Arabidopsis thaliana: one gene and its partners. The protein of the gene in region 1 binds, or shares a complex with, the protein of each later gene. Links are inferred from orthologs where the notes say so. Each region holds a gene or a part of one and is shown in the gene's direction. Other genes may lie near its edges.

Evidence for each region. Proteins that work in one complex are often made in the same cells at the same time.
Region 2: the proteins of CI51 (region 1) and FRO1 are in contact, whole or in part, in a cryo-EM structure (PDB 8BED), measured with the Arabidopsis thaliana proteins. Residues at the interface, in NP_196470.1 of Arabidopsis thaliana: Gly131 (codon at 2,807), Arg132 (codon at 2,810), Pro133 (codon at 2,813), Glu237 (codon at 3,125), Arg247 (codon at 3,155), Leu248 (codon at 3,158), Pro250 (codon at 3,164), Pro251 (codon at 3,167), Tyr259 (codon at 3,191), Gly260 (codon at 3,194), Cys261 (codon at 3,197); in NP_201560.1 of Arabidopsis thaliana: Tyr140 (codon at 3,276), Ser141 (codon at 3,279), Phe144 (codon at 3,288), Trp146 (codon at 3,294).
Region 3: the proteins of CI51 (region 1) and AT4G02580 are in contact, whole or in part, in a cryo-EM structure (PDB 9F5X), measured with the Chlamydomonas reinhardtii proteins. The link is inferred for Arabidopsis thaliana from one-to-one orthologs. Residues at the interface, in XP_001702590.1 of Chlamydomonas reinhardtii: Asp58, Glu59, Arg61, Phe63, Gln64, Asn65, Ile66, Tyr67, Arg69, His70, Met78, Ser79, Arg80, Gly81, Tyr84, Met85, Glu88, Ile89, Lys92, Trp96, Gln100, Tyr133, Glu142, Pro143, Gly144, Thr145, Cys146, Arg149, Glu150, Arg153; in XP_001698508.1 of Chlamydomonas reinhardtii: Thr42, Arg79, Tyr80, Pro81, Tyr84, Gln86, Ser87, Ile89, Ile90, Pro91, Asp94, Val95, Glu125, Val126, Phe129, Tyr130, Thr131, Met132, Phe133, Gly147, Thr148, Thr149, Pro150, Arg152, Leu153, Gln154, Glu184, Met185, Glu186, Cys187.

Annotation. Positions count from the first base shown.
Region 1 is NC_003076.8:2,758,576-2,763,724, reverse strand, and holds CI51 (51 kDa subunit of complex I), read left to right. Parts: upstream 1-1,705; 5' UTR 1,706-1,998; coding exon 1,999-2,001; intron 2,002-2,419; coding exon 2,420-3,877; 3' UTR 3,878-3,895; intron 3,896-4,113; 3' UTR 4,114-4,408; downstream 4,409-5,149. Other genes in the region: AT5G08535 (D111/G-patch domain-containing protein), read right to left, coding at 405-536, 785-1,015, 1,208-1,270. UniProt on the Arabidopsis thaliana protein: Core subunit of the mitochondrial membrane respiratory chain NADH dehydrogenase (Complex I) that is believed to belong to the minimal assembly required for catalysis. Complex I functions in the transfer of electrons from NADH to the respiratory chain.
Region 2 is NC_003076.8:26,956,034-26,960,057, forward strand, and holds FRO1 (NADH-ubiquinone oxidoreductase-like protein), read left to right. Parts: upstream 1-1,881; 5' UTR 1,882-2,039; coding exon 2,040-2,198; intron 2,199-2,345; coding exon 2,346-2,434; intron 2,435-2,618; coding exon 2,619-2,748; intron 2,749-2,929; coding exon 2,930-2,959; intron 2,960-3,266; coding exon 3,267-3,323; 3' UTR 3,324-3,524; downstream 3,525-4,024. Other genes in the region: TRB2 (Homeodomain-like/winged-helix DNA-binding family protein), read right to left, coding at 1-169, 267-350, 424-508, 593-813, 891-1,040; WIH1 (cysteine-rich TM module stress tolerance protein), read right to left, coding at 3,721-3,766, 3,904-4,024.
Region 3 is NC_003075.7:1,132,638-1,137,704, forward strand, and holds AT4G02580 (NADH-ubiquinone oxidoreductase 24 kDa subunit), read left to right. Parts: upstream 1-1,791; 5' UTR 1,792-1,948; coding exon 1,949-2,017; intron 2,018-2,102; coding exon 2,103-2,135; intron 2,136-2,242; coding exon 2,243-2,308; intron 2,309-2,938; coding exon 2,939-3,055; intron 3,056-3,189; coding exon 3,190-3,267; intron 3,268-3,356; coding exon 3,357-3,462; intron 3,463-3,553; coding exon 3,554-3,600; intron 3,601-3,712; coding exon 3,713-3,790; intron 3,791-3,906; coding exon 3,907-3,972; intron 3,973-4,161; coding exon 4,162-4,269; 3' UTR 4,270-4,567; downstream 4,568-5,067. Other genes in the region: CUL1 (cullin 1), read left to right, coding at 1-39, 122-340, 440-607, 697-798. UniProt on the Arabidopsis thaliana protein: Core subunit of the mitochondrial membrane respiratory chain NADH dehydrogenase (Complex I) that is believed to belong to the minimal assembly required for catalysis. Complex I functions in the transfer of electrons from NADH to the respiratory chain.

The DNA of each region.
Region 1 (5,149 bases):
TTTAACAAGAAGAAAAAGTGAATTCAGCAGACAGCAGACATAATAACAAATGGATTAATTACCCACACAAGCTAGAATTTTTTGTTACTCCCATGTTAAATCGGATTATTATCCCAAATTTAGTTCACAATATAAAGTGATTTGGTCATGCTAAATGCATGGGTACCAATGCAAGGCACATGAACATACACTTTAGAAACTTGCTAACAAAAACCTTTACTTGAAGTGTCTGCATTAACTTCATTTTCTTTTCCCATTTTCTAAAGGTATAAGGTTGAGCGCATGATTCTATAACTATTTTTCTTCATTGATAAGGCAATAGAACAGAGTTATTCTAAATTTGCAGTAAATACAGAAGCTTTTGGAACATTCAGGTCAATAAGAAGTAAAAGAATAAAACCTAGTTATACATTATCGGGCCAGAACTCCCTAAAGAAGGCTCGTTCAAATTCTTTTTCCTGTAAATGTTTTTCGTGCTCCATCATCTTCCGCATTTTCTTCGAAAGTTTCTTACTCTGCTTTGAGACTTCTTCATCCTGAAAATTTTAGTAAAGAAAAGATAAGTTTCGATGCCTAACTTGAAAACAAATGAAACATAAAAGCTAATGGCAACGTGATAAGCCAAAAATCAAGTCCAGCACTATTGAGATATGAAGTGTCGCTGATGCAGACTTTCAAAAAATAAAATCAGATGAGACTCTTTATCAATGCCTGAACACTTCTTCATCATTAGCTATTTTCAGATTTAAAGGCTATCGCATGTAAGGGTTTTAAGAAACAAGACCTTAGCCTGAGGCTGAGCCACTTTTCTCTTAGCTGGTTGTTTAGCTCCCACTCCTCGTTTGTTATGTTTTGGCTCTGCTTGTAGAGGCACCAATATACCCTGTTCAGCGATTCCAAGACCAGTGCCTTCCTTCCAGCCATGCTTCTTTAGGAGCTGAAACCCAATGTTGGACGAATTTATAGCAGCCAATGAACTGCTTGATCCAGAGGACTCACCCATAACGCTCGACACCTGAACATGTTAACTCACAATTGTCAATAAAAACAAAAGGAATGCACATTCAGTTCTGCTTACTTCTTGTAGTCTATTCAATTCACAACTAGAAACAGACCCAAAAGTTTCCTACCACTGAACAGTAAACAAAATGTTAATAGGTTAAATGCAGCACAAAATAGAAGAGATGCATCCAGAAATGAGTTATACCTGAAACCTATTAGCAGATTCAATGACAGCCCATGAACTTGTCGAAACCGAGGAATCTCCCATAAGAAATCGAAACCTAAATACAATGAACCAACCATCAGAAATATTGTTATCATCTAAATTCAGGGTTCAATTAAAGCCAAACACAAGAATTCGCTTATGTTGATTATTTCCTGGAATAAATTAGAGCAAATTTCACAAACCATGAGCCTGAATCATCAAAATATTAAGATAATAATAGATAGACGGAACTCACCAAAAACGTGAAACTCAAGCAGTCACCGAACAAAACGAGACCAATGAACCCTAGAATCACCGAGACGATCTGATGAAAACTGAGTGAAAATCGCTTCAATCTCTTCCTCTCTCTATCGAACCACCGCCTTTGCTAATCGCCGGCCTGTAGCAGTTGGATCGTCTTACGGGAACTGAGAAAATTATAAAAAGACGCCTCTTATGTTTCTAAATGCTAATTGTTCCCAATACTTTATAATTATTTCATATTCGACCCACATATTTTACGTTTATCGAAGTTTAGGATAGTTTCATACCGGACCAGAATATTTGGGCCTGGACCAAGAGAGGCCCATAAAATAGAGAGAAGCTTAACGTCAAGAAGACGCGGAGTAATCTAAACCAAACAGCTTATCTCGAGTTCGTCGGTCTCAGGTGGGCAGTGATTATAACTTCGTCTCCGTGTCTGTTCAAGCTCCCATTCTTGTGGCCTTCACGCTTCAGGAACAAAGACCAGTATCTCTCTGAAAGACTACTTCTCGGAAATTTTCGTCTCCATGGTAAGCAATCTCTTTTCGCGCACTCACTTTGATGATCTCCGTTTTCATTTCTAGGTTATACGATTTTCTTCTCGATCGCATTTGTTAGGGTTTTCAAAATTAAGACTTTGAGTGTATTTATCTTGAATTCAGCTGAACAATTTCAAAATGCGGCATCTTCTTATACATAGATCTAGCGGGTTATGATTGATCTGGTCGAGCTTATCGATTTAGAGCGATTGGGTTTATTCACCTGCTTTTGTTGGTTTTGTTTGGTTTCCTAATGTTGAAACAGCGATTTTATACGCGACACTTAACTCCTGTATCATCAATTTTACTGATTTCGTGCTTCAATTTTTTGTATGCTTTTAAAGTAGATCATGTGTTACTTTGAGTTAATTTGCCATTTACCGTCTTTGTTATATGGATTTGATGATAGGCACCCGTGAGGGGGATTCTTGGCTTGCAAAGGGCAGTGTCCATTTGGAAGGAAAGTAACAGACTGACTCCAGCTTTGAGATCATTCAGCACTCAAGCTGCATCCACTTCCACCACTCCACAGCCTCCTCCACCTCCTCCGCCTCCGGAAAAGACTCATTTCGGTGGTCTCAAGGATGAAGATCGGATTTTTACTAATCTCTATGGTCTGCATGACCCATTTCTCAAAGGCGCGATGAAGAGAGGTGATTGGCATAGGACCAAAGATTTGGTGCTCAAGGGTACTGATTGGATTGTCAATGAAATGAAGAAATCTGGACTTCGTGGACGTGGTGGTGCTGGTTTCCCTTCTGGTCTTAAGTGGTCCTTTATGCCTAAAGTTTCTGATGGCCGTCCCTCCTATTTGGTTGTCAATGCTGATGAGAGTGAGCCTGGAACTTGTAAAGATAGGGAGATCATGCGTCATGACCCTCACAAATTGTTGGAAGGGTGTTTGATTGCTGGTGTTGGAATGAGAGCTAGTGCTGCGTATATTTACATCAGGGGTGAATATGTGAATGAGCGTTTGAATCTAGAGAAGGCTAGAAGAGAAGCGTATGCAGCTGGTCTCTTGGGGAAGAATGCATGTGGTTCTGGTTATGATTTTGAAGTTTATATCCACTTTGGTGCTGGTGCGTACATTTGTGGTGAAGAGACTGCGCTTCTTGAAAGCCTTGAAGGGAAGCAAGGAAAACCTAGGTTGAAGCCTCCGTTCCCTGCTAATGCTGGTTTATATGGTTGTCCCACAACTGTTACCAATGTGGAAACAGTGGCTGTTTCGCCTACCATTTTAAGGCGTGGACCTGAGTGGTTTTCTAGTTTCGGTAGGAAGAATAACGCTGGGACAAAGCTCTTTTGTATATCAGGCCATGTAAACAAGCCATGCACGGTGGAAGAGGAGATGAGTATACCTCTCAAGGAACTGATTGAGAGGCATTGTGGAGGTGTTAGGGGTGGATGGGACAATCTACTTGCTATCATCCCTGGTGGTTCATCTGTTCCTCTGATCCCTAAGAACATTTGCGAGGATGTGCTGATGGATTTCGATGCGCTCAAGGCTGTCCAATCAGGGTTAGGAACTGCAGCAGTCATTGTGATGGATAAATCAACCGATGTTGTGGATGCAATTGCAAGGCTCTCTTACTTCTACAAGCATGAAAGCTGTGGGCAGTGCACTCCTTGCAGAGAGGGAACAGGTTGGCTTTGGATGATCATGGAGAGAATGAAAGTTGGCAATGCAAAGCTGGAAGAGATTGATATGCTGCAGGAGGTAACCAAACAGATCGAAGGACACACAATCTGTGCATTGGGTGATGCAGCTGCATGGCCTGTGCAAGGTCTGATAAGACACTTTAGGCCAGAGCTCGAGAGAAGGATCAGGGAACGCGCTGAAAGGGAGTTGCTACAGGCTGCTGCTTAAGTACCTTGTTAACCAGAGGTTTGCATCTCCAGTCCTTGCTCTTTTAATCTTCTGTTGCAAACTTAAAAGCTGAGGTCTAGAGTTTACGCAGCCTTTTAGAATGTATTTGTGACAAGGTAGACTGCTCTGTATCTAATTTCTTTGGGCATTTCAAGAACTTGAGCCGTAATGAACAGTTAGTTTCCGTAACTATCTTTCTGCTCTATCCCTGTCTTACAAAATTGATGTTTTTGCAGGGAGTTTGCTATTATTCTCCATGGAAATAAAATCTGAATGAACAACTAGTAACGGTTTTGGGATGCAAAGCTACTTCAGAAGGAGAAGAAGGTAATGTAATTTGTTTGAATGGTTAATGTTAAAACTCTCTTAAAGTTGTATCAGAAAGAGCGCGATTTGCTCTTTTGCATTACTCTACTTTCTTTATTGTTTGCTTGTTATGTTTATTCGAGTATGAAAGCACATTTTGGGAACAACCAAAGAAACCCTTTTCATGTTTGAAATAAAGAATGCTCCTTTTTGGGTTTATAAGTAGTTCACATAGCAAATAAATTATAAATCAATGTTTCTTTTTGGCATTTTCTGAAAAATATCTCTAGGATATAAATTGGTATATCATTGTTCTGTATACAACTTGATATGATAGTCCAAAATTAGTTTTTTTGGATAATGTATAACCAAAATGTGATTAGTCCCAACTTGATTTCGTAAAATCAAACAAAGTAGAAATCATCTTAAAACTATAAACTAGAAATTTCTAAATGGAATAACTTAAAGAATAAAATGAAATGGAAGTGATATATATATTCGCATTGAAATGGAGAAAGAGAGAAAAAGGAAAAGAGATAAATGAAGGCAAGGAAGACCTGTGAGGGTGATGGGGACCGGTCTGATTGGATATTATTTTTGGAGGATATTTATGGATAAGACGTCAACATCTTCCCTAACTTCTTTGTCCACCTCTCCCACCTTTTTCCCCCCTTTTCCAATTTCTTTACTTAATCGATAGAACTACTGAATCAACAAGTTGTTGTATGATGAAATTACATAATCACATATTTGCATAACTCGGAAAGTCGTCATATAGGCAATTAGCATCTTTGTTGTTTTCGATTTTCGATATGAGCTTAAGTTTGAACAATGTTTACAAATAGTTTGATATAGTATTTCATTGCCTTTTATAATCACCGTACAAATAATTATTATTCATCAATGATTGCCTCCCCAAATGTCACCAAAAGAAAAATCTAGTCACATGCGAAAGCATTATGAAAG
Region 2 (4,024 bases), about 24 Mb from region 1:
TTATCATATATAATTCACCGTCTACTCGGAATTTAGTGAGACTGTTGGCACCGTTCTCCTCGGGTTTTGTTGGGTCTTTCTTGTTGTTTCCTTCCAGAAAGAGTTGAGGAGCCTTCTGTCTTGCACCTGCGGGAATAAAATTAGAAGAAAACCTGTACTTGTGCTTTATCTGAAAGTGAGAAATCACCAAGTAAGTATTTTTGAAAATTCTGAGAGTAATGAAGTGTTAGTGATCATGAATCTTGAATCAAAAGTTGTGTGTTTACCTTAACTAATGTTCCATTCGATGATAAATGCTTTAATCGTACTGCGACATGCCTTTTCATATTCGGTGGAGTCTTGAAATTCTCCTGAAATTTAACAGCTACTAAGTAAGTATGCAACAAACCCCAACCAAACATGTAATCCCAATGGTAGAAATACCTCTATATACAGAAAGATTGATGTTCTGTCAGAACCGCGTAGTTCCCTCAAGTTGGTAATTGCCTCAAAGATGATCTTATCCAAACTACAAAAACAGACAATAGCGCAAGATCAAATCTTTATGAACTCAAGAAAATCGTTATGTGGTGCATAAGTCAGGGAACCAAACCTTGTAATTGATCTCTTAGAAGCACAAGTGCGTGGTGATCCACCACCAGAACCTCCGGGGGAAGTTGGTTTTGCACGTTCATCATCATTAGTCAAAGCCACAATGGTAAGAGCTGTGTTGTTATCATCCTGTTTAGTACCTGGTGGAGTCCTCTTAAGCGCAAGTTTAGCCTTCTTCCTTGAACCCCATAAAGCTGTCACGCTTATATTTCTCCATTTGTCCTGTTATGCCTTGAACTATCAAGATTAGTCCGAAACACGCGATCACAACCTCCAAAAAGCATATTATATTGTATTACCTTAAGATCAACATTAGAGCGAGACTTAAGGATTAAACTAAACTCAGTATCCGAGAGTATGGTACGCCACTTCCCAGTCCCATGCTTAAGAACTCCAGCTTTAAGAGCTGCTTCTTCTTCCGGTGTCCACTTCTGCTTTGGTGCACCCATCCACAGTTATCAATATTTGAATTTCTTCTTTTCTCTGCCAATAGATGTGAACGCTAACATTAGAATCTGTTAAATCGTACGAAACTTAACCACATCAAAGCCATTGTTGAACATTTCTTATCCAATACAAAATTTTGGTCATCTAAATCCAGCAGATACACAAAGCCACAACATAAAAATGTAACTACACAAATCCAAAGAAATTAGATACGCCCCAAAGCTCAATTCAACAAAAAAATGAGTGATTCGAGCAATCTCGAACCAAAAAAAGAGGATCAAAGCCCATTAACAACGTCGCAAATCAACAGGAATTTGGAAATACAGCCATCAATCTAAAGCGATAGCTAAATTATCAACCAAATTCAAATGGGGCGATCGTAGAAAATTAAAAACAAAAATGGAAAATTCAGAGAAGGAAGCAGAAAGGAGGAAGGAGGAGAAGAAGCATGCCAGATCAAACGAAACCAAAGGAGAGTTTTCGAGAGAGAGACTTGATGATGAAAGCTAATTCCTTGTATAGATGTGTCATAGATCAAATGTGATTCGCTGAAACGAACGAAGAAGAAGAAGACCAGAGAGGCTAGCATAAGGAAGAAGAATATCCATAGAAACGAGAAACAAACTTGAGCTTTTCTTTTGTATTCAAGCTAAGGAAGATGTAACCCTATATTTCTCCACATTCACAAATTTGCCTCAAGTTTATCAAATTACACAATAAAACCTACCAACTAAATGAATAGGATCAAGCTGAATAAAATATACTAGTACTATTTTTTAAAAATAATGTATCTATAAAATTTATCGTTGTTAAATCTCACAGATAGTTTAGGGGCTATTAAAGATTTTTCATATAATAGTAAGACCGAAAGCGTAATTTATAAAATTTTGATGGCTAGATTGAAATATGTGTTTTTTTTTTCTTTCTAAAATCTACAGAAGTAGAAGAAACCAAAGCGAAATCAAAAAGCTCAGCAATTTTCCAGATTTCTCTAATTGACGATGGCGCTTTGTGCTACTACTCAAAGGACTATCCGTATAGCGGCGACGCTCCGGCGTGTTGCTCGACCTTTCGCTACTGACGCGGTGGTTGAGTCGGATTACAAGCGTGGTGAGATCGGTAAGGTCTCCGGAATCCCAGAGGAGCATCTTTCTCGCAAGGTAAATAAGCATTCGATTTCTTACGAATTCAGTTTAGAAAATTAGGGTTCGTGATCAGAGAATCGTCTTAATTGAGCTACATCGTGTTCTTGATTTGATTTTGGTCAATCGAATAGTGCTAAGAGTATTGAATTTGGAAATTAACAGGTGATAATATACTCACCTGCTAGAACAGCTACCCAGTCAGGATCTGGAAAACTCGGAAAATGGAAGATTAACTTCGTCTCCACCTTAAAGTATGCTACTTTTTGATTAAGATAATCCTCTTTTCCTCACATTTTATGTCCTAATATGATTCTTATCCTTAAAATTCCTATCTTTTCAAAACTTAAGTCTTCTGCTTGTGACTAGTACTAGTCCATCACTTGTTGATTAGATTTCGATTGACATCACTTATCTATGGCATTCATATGTTTCTAGGTGGGAGAATCCGTTGATGGGATGGACTTCTACAGGTGACCCCTATGCTAATGTTGGTGACTCTGCTCTTGCTTTTGATTCTGAAGAAGCTGCTAAGTCTTTTGCTGAGCGTCATGGTTGGGATTATAAGGTACGTTGTTTCCTTCTTCGTTTTTAGCTCATTTTTTTTTCTGGTCGCATTCACTCACATTTTATGAGAATGTGATGGTTCTGTTTTTTTTTTTTTTCGATCACCATTGTGATGGTTCTGTTTTAAGATCCCTTAATATAGAATTCAGAGTACTGAAAAACTTACATCTAAATCATTGCAGGTCAAGAAGCCCAACACACCATTATTGAAGGTTAGTAACTATCTTTTTGCTAATGCCGCATTATGACTTACGAGCTCTACTCATATGAGGTGTTTAACCCTAAAGCTGGAGATTCACTGGAACGACCCTTGAATGTTGTGTTAAATAGATAGGATATTCTTTAACTTAACTCATATTGCTTCATCAGAAATGGTTTGGTGCCTCTAGTTTAAGATTTAGCTACTAGTTTGACGAGCGATAGTCTCTTTCATTCCTTTGATTTATTTGGTAGAACATTCTTTAGATTGAAGTTTTAACCTAACCCCATGATTGTTCATCATCTAACATCTAACTGCAGGTCAAGTCTTACTCGGACAACTTCAAGTGGAAAGGCAATCCTCAACCAGAAAACTGATGTTACACCTTCTTCCAATTCTTCTCGAGCAAAAGAAGAAACCTCATTTGATATTAATTCTCATGTTTCTTTGTTATTTTAGCATCTGTGAGCTTTTTGGTTGAAAAGAACCATTATCCATGGCTATGTTTACTTATTACAATAATATGATGATGATGATGAAACACACTCCTTTGATATTTCATCAAGATTTCTGATCACTTCTTTACTGGTTTATTTCGAATTCGTGTGATTGGATTATGAAAGAGAGAGATAATTATGGTCGGAGTCAATAAAACATAAGATACCAAAATTCGAATTGAAAGAAGATAACAACAGAAGAAAGATTGTTGAACATTACATAACATATATGAGGAAATAAAAGTTGACTGAGGCAACGTATATAATTATCCTCCGATCAGAAACATGCATCCAAGAGACAGCAACAACAGAGCGCAGCCAAACTGTGACGTATTTATGAACAGAGCAAAGACATATATTAACTAATACAGTATTATTCCACTAAAACCTAAATACAAAGCAAAACAAGAAACCAAAATAAAGTTAATATAAAGTAGAAAAGATGGGATCAAGAACGTACCATCCTTCAAGCATACCGGCGTTTTGCTTCTGCTGCGGAGCTTGAGAGTACTGCGGCGGAGGATAACCTTGTGCAGGGTATCCCTGAGCATATCCTGGCGGTGGATAACCGGCTGGAGGAT
Region 3 (5,067 bases), on another chromosome or scaffold:
GATCAAAAGGCCATCGAGTTAATAGTGTCTACTTACCAGGTACTGTATGTTTCTCAGAAAATACTGATATATATTTTCTATCTGTAAACGGACTCTGATGCCACGTTCTCTGTCTCTATAGGCTGCTGTGCTTCTACTCTTTAACACAACTGACAAGTTAAGTTACACTGAGATCTTGGCTCAACTGAACCTAAGCCATGAAGATCTAGTTAGGTTGCTTCATTCCTTGTCATGTGCTAAGTACAAGATACTCCTTAAGGAGCCAAACACCAAGACTGTCTCCCAGAATGATGCCTTTGAGTTCAACTCCAAATTCACCGATAGAATGCGCAGAATCAAGGTTTGTGACGTTAATAGTAATACTCAAAAGTCTGCAAGTTTATGTCATGTTTTACATATTGTTAATAACTAACATCAACTTGGGTGATTTGCGTCACAGATCCCTCTTCCCCCAGTTGATGAAAGGAAGAAAGTCGTTGAAGATGTCGATAAAGACAGAAGATATGCAATTGATGCTGCCATTGTCAGGATCATGAAGAGCAGGAAAGTATTGGGACATCAACAACTTGTTTCTGAGTGTGTTGAGCAACTTAGCCGAATGTTCAAGGTAAATTATACATATAATTATATTTATACAGAGACATTTGAAGATGCACGTGGTGATGAAACTCATTGGATTTGTGATGTTTGTTGCAGCCTGATATCAAAGCGATCAAGAAGCGTATGGAGGATTTAATAACCAGAGATTATTTGGAGAGGGACAAGGAGAATCCTAACATGTTTAGGTACTTGGCTTAGGGCAAAAAAACAACAACTATGGAAGTGGTTGGCTCATGAAAGGAATCTGCTTGTATATTTAGAAGTCCATATGGAGACTGTCCTAAAACAAATTTATCGCTTCATTTTCGCTATTTTTCTCTTTTAAAAAATATTCGGTCTGTGCTTTTTTTTTGGGATGCAAATTTGCCTTGTGGATTTTTGTTTCTTAAATATTGAATGGAGATGGAGAAATGGCCTTAATGAATGAATCTCTGCTTTCTAATATATTTATCCTTGATCATATTATTTAAGTTTTATGTATCTCTGTGTTATATTGACGGATGGGAAAGTCGTAACAAATAATATGAGATTTCTTATAATCGAACGCTAATGAGACAAAGATGAACCGACGGAAGGTGCCTTCCTCAATCGCCGAACATTAAAAATCATTGTAATCATCTACGTCATTAGCTATAGTCCACCAGAACCGTAATAGTTTCTGCTTAGGACCAATGTCTTATATTTTAAGCCGTTTTTCTGTTGTATGATGATCTGAAATATTATTGGGATACAAAGACGGGTATGTTAAGGTTAATAACAATTTTGAACGGGTTAATGGTGGAGCTGGTGGATTATATTACTTGATTCCAATGTGCTTTTTTCTTTCTTTTTTGGGTTAATATGAATTATGAACGGATCATCAAAGACGATATTTGGAGCCTACACAGAGAATGATATATACGACATGGAGAAATTCTGTTCATATATGTTTTGAGGTGCGGAGTCATTTTACTCCATCGAGCAAATGTTTCTCACTTTTTATTTGCTTGAGATTCTGTTAAACAAACAAAGAATCATGCCATTGCACTATGATGAAAAAGCTGCGAGGAGATGTGCAAATTATAAGAATCAGCAAATTCCAACGGGCTTCAAGTATTACATGTATGGGCCTTTAATTAATAAAATGGGCCTTTAAAGCTACTCGTATGTATCAGTCCTAAACCAAAAGTAATAGACCAATAATGAATTAAAGTCAGGCTTATTTTAGCAGGCCCATAGAGGCTATAGTCAATCCTGCGCCAGGTGATAGTGAGATACCGAGTCTAGCTCCTTGGTTTCTCTGCTTCTCCTTCTCTCTCAGATCAAAAAAAACCTTCGTGTGCGTCTCTCGTCCTCTAAATTGTCGAAAATGCTGGCTAGGCTCGCTGCGAAGCGTCTTCTCGAGATCCGTCAAGTTTTCCGTCAACCAACCTCTCAGGTATTCTCTAATTCCTTGCTTCCTCTCAGCTTCTCTCCGGTCGTTTCCCGATCTCATTCTCCGTTTTGGTCATTTCTATCTACAGGTGACTCGTAGCTTATCGACGGCCTTAAACTACGTGAGTGTTGGATATTCTATCTGATCTATGCTTCAATTTTGTCTAATTTTATCCGAAATTAATTGTAATTTGATTTTTGTTGTTGTTGTTGTTTTGATTACTTATAGCATCTGGATTCTCCTGATAACAAACCCGATCTTCCATGGGAGTTTTCAGAGGCTAACCAATCTAAGGTCAGTGAATAAAATCGCTTCTTAATGTGATAATGACGAAAATTTACAGTTTTAGTGAACGCATTGGGGATTTTTATCCAGTACGGATTCGAATTCGTTTTTGTGATGTTTACAGAATATCTAGGGAATTGTGTGACATGTTCGTAATGGTGGAATTAATTTATACTCTTTCGTGAAAATGTTGGAATCTTTAGCCCTCGTTCCCTAATCTTTAGCCCTTTGTTTGACCCTAGTTATAACTAGTCCCTGTCTCCTGATTATGAATTATGGTTCTCTTAGTTAGCATTCTACCAAAGGATATTAAAAGACAAAGACTGGGATTTTCTGATATTTTTGATTGCTTATTTGTTGTTACATATTTAGAATCGGCTATTCTGGAACTGATTTAAGGGAGAGACTTAGAGTGAACGACCCAAATGGCCAACAGATTTGAATCTGCTAGTGTGGCAGAAAGACTGTCCAGAAATTAGTAAACCGGTTTCATTGTAGTTTAAATCCTAATACTTTCTTGTGCATTTAGTTCCAGTTTACTGTATCTTTCATTTCTGGCTACAGTAATCTTGCATTAACGGTGAAATCGATTTCCGCATGCATCCAGACTTACTGAATTGTTATGTCCAAAATGTGTAGGTTAAGGAGATTCTCTCTTACTATCCATCCAATTACAAGCAGTCCGCAGTTATTCCTCTCCTAGATCTTGCACAACAGCAGAATGGAGGCTGGCTCCCTGTTTCAGCAATGAATGCGGTATGTCTTCTAAGATTTTTTTGTTCGATTTTCTCTGTTAAGACTTAATTTTATGTACTTCTTAAGTTCTTTTTTGGAATACAACATTCATTGATATGATTTTACCGTCATAACAATGCAACAAACTTTTGCAGGTTGCTAAAGTTATAGAAGTTGCCCCTATCCGTGTTTATGAGGTTGCAACATTTTACTCAATGTTCAACAGAGCAAAGGTAAGAAGTACTTTCTACCCCTAAACTCAAGTCTCTACTGTACTCAATGAAAGACGCATTGCAGGCTCATTTTTCTTTTGCTCTTACAGGTTGGAAAGTATCACCTTCTAGTTTGTGGCACAACACCTTGCATGATCCGTGGTTCACGAGACATCGAATCAGCTTTGCTAGACCATTTGGGAGTGAAACGCGGTGGTAAAGCTCTATGTGCTTCCTTTCATAACCAAAATCATATGGAGGTGATGATCAGTCATAACGATCTTTGGTCTTAATGTTTTTTGTGCAGAGGTCACAAAGGATGGTTTGTTCTCTGTTGGAGAGATGGAGTGCATGGTATGGATTTTGCGTCACCTCAATTCATTAATCCATGCAGAACAATAACCAAGATTAGTACTTTCACATGAAAAGATTCAATGCAGATCTAATGTGTTTGGTTTTGTTACAGGGATGTTGTGTTAATGCACCCATGATCACTGTGGCTGACTATTCCAATGGATCAGAAGGATATACATATAACTATTTCGTATGTCAAATCTCGTTGAACAATTTTTCTTTTTCTCCTGCATTATCCTATTGTTTATGTGGGTTACGTCGGAAGAGTGAAATCATACTTACACTGTCTTATGCTACAATACACAGGAAGATGTTACACCTGAGAAAGTCGTAGAAATTGTTGAAAAGCTGAGAAAAGGAGAAAAGCCACCGGTAAGACATTAACAACCCATTGCATTTGGATACTTTCCTGATGTTCTTCTCTTACTATTGCATTACATCGGTGGGGGAAAACAATCTGGTTTCGGTTAACTTTCCAAATTGGAGAACGTAGCCTCTAAGCCAAAATCCAAATCCAAAATCCAAATCCAACTTCTTATAATGTTAATCTTTGTTTTTCAGCATGGAACTCAGAACCCGAAGAGGATCAAGTGTGGACCAGAAGGAGGGAATAAGACACTGCTTGGTGAGCCTAAGCCACCACAATTCCGTGATCTTGATGCATGCTAAAGCTAAGTTCTGTTTGCCGCAGTTTTATGTGGTTCAATAACGCAAAGGCTATAGCGATGTATGTTTGACGCCTGTACCGCATCAAATTGAGTTTGCATACTCTTTGTAGTCTTCTTGGTTTTGGAATTTAGACCCATTTTAAACAAATTGCCAAATCATCTTCGTTTATTATTATCTCACTCTAAGATTCATGTGAAATTGTAATAAAAACAAAACTTTTATCTGTTACTTCAAAAGACACAAGATTTTCCAAACTTTACTCAAAAAATAAATTTGGCAGAATGATTTAATGAATCACATGAAATAATCATATCAATAACTTTAATTCTTCGATGAGTTTTTTTTTTGGCTATATTTTTCCAAAACTAACAATATTAATAAAAGTTGTATTTTGTCTTCACTAATCAATGCAAAATGTAAACATGCAAGTTTAAATTGATACATGTTCTGTCCAAAGTGTATATATCTTAGCATTTGAGATTTGGAAGTTAAAATTGTACACGTACCACTAAAAAAAAGAAGCACAATTCATGGTACTTTCTCCTAAAATATTTGCTTTATGTTTCTAGTGTTATCAAACAAAGGATGGTTACTAGATCAAACTAATAATATTATTTGATAATTAATTATACTACTCCAAAGTCATACAAAATAAATAATAATACAAGGGGTGACAAATTACAAATACTTGTTTTTTCTTCAATTTGAACACAACTCAACAAGGTCCCACAACTTCCCACTACTACTACTACTAATAAATAACACCCTTCAAGCTCCTTCCTCAACCTCCCACTAAAG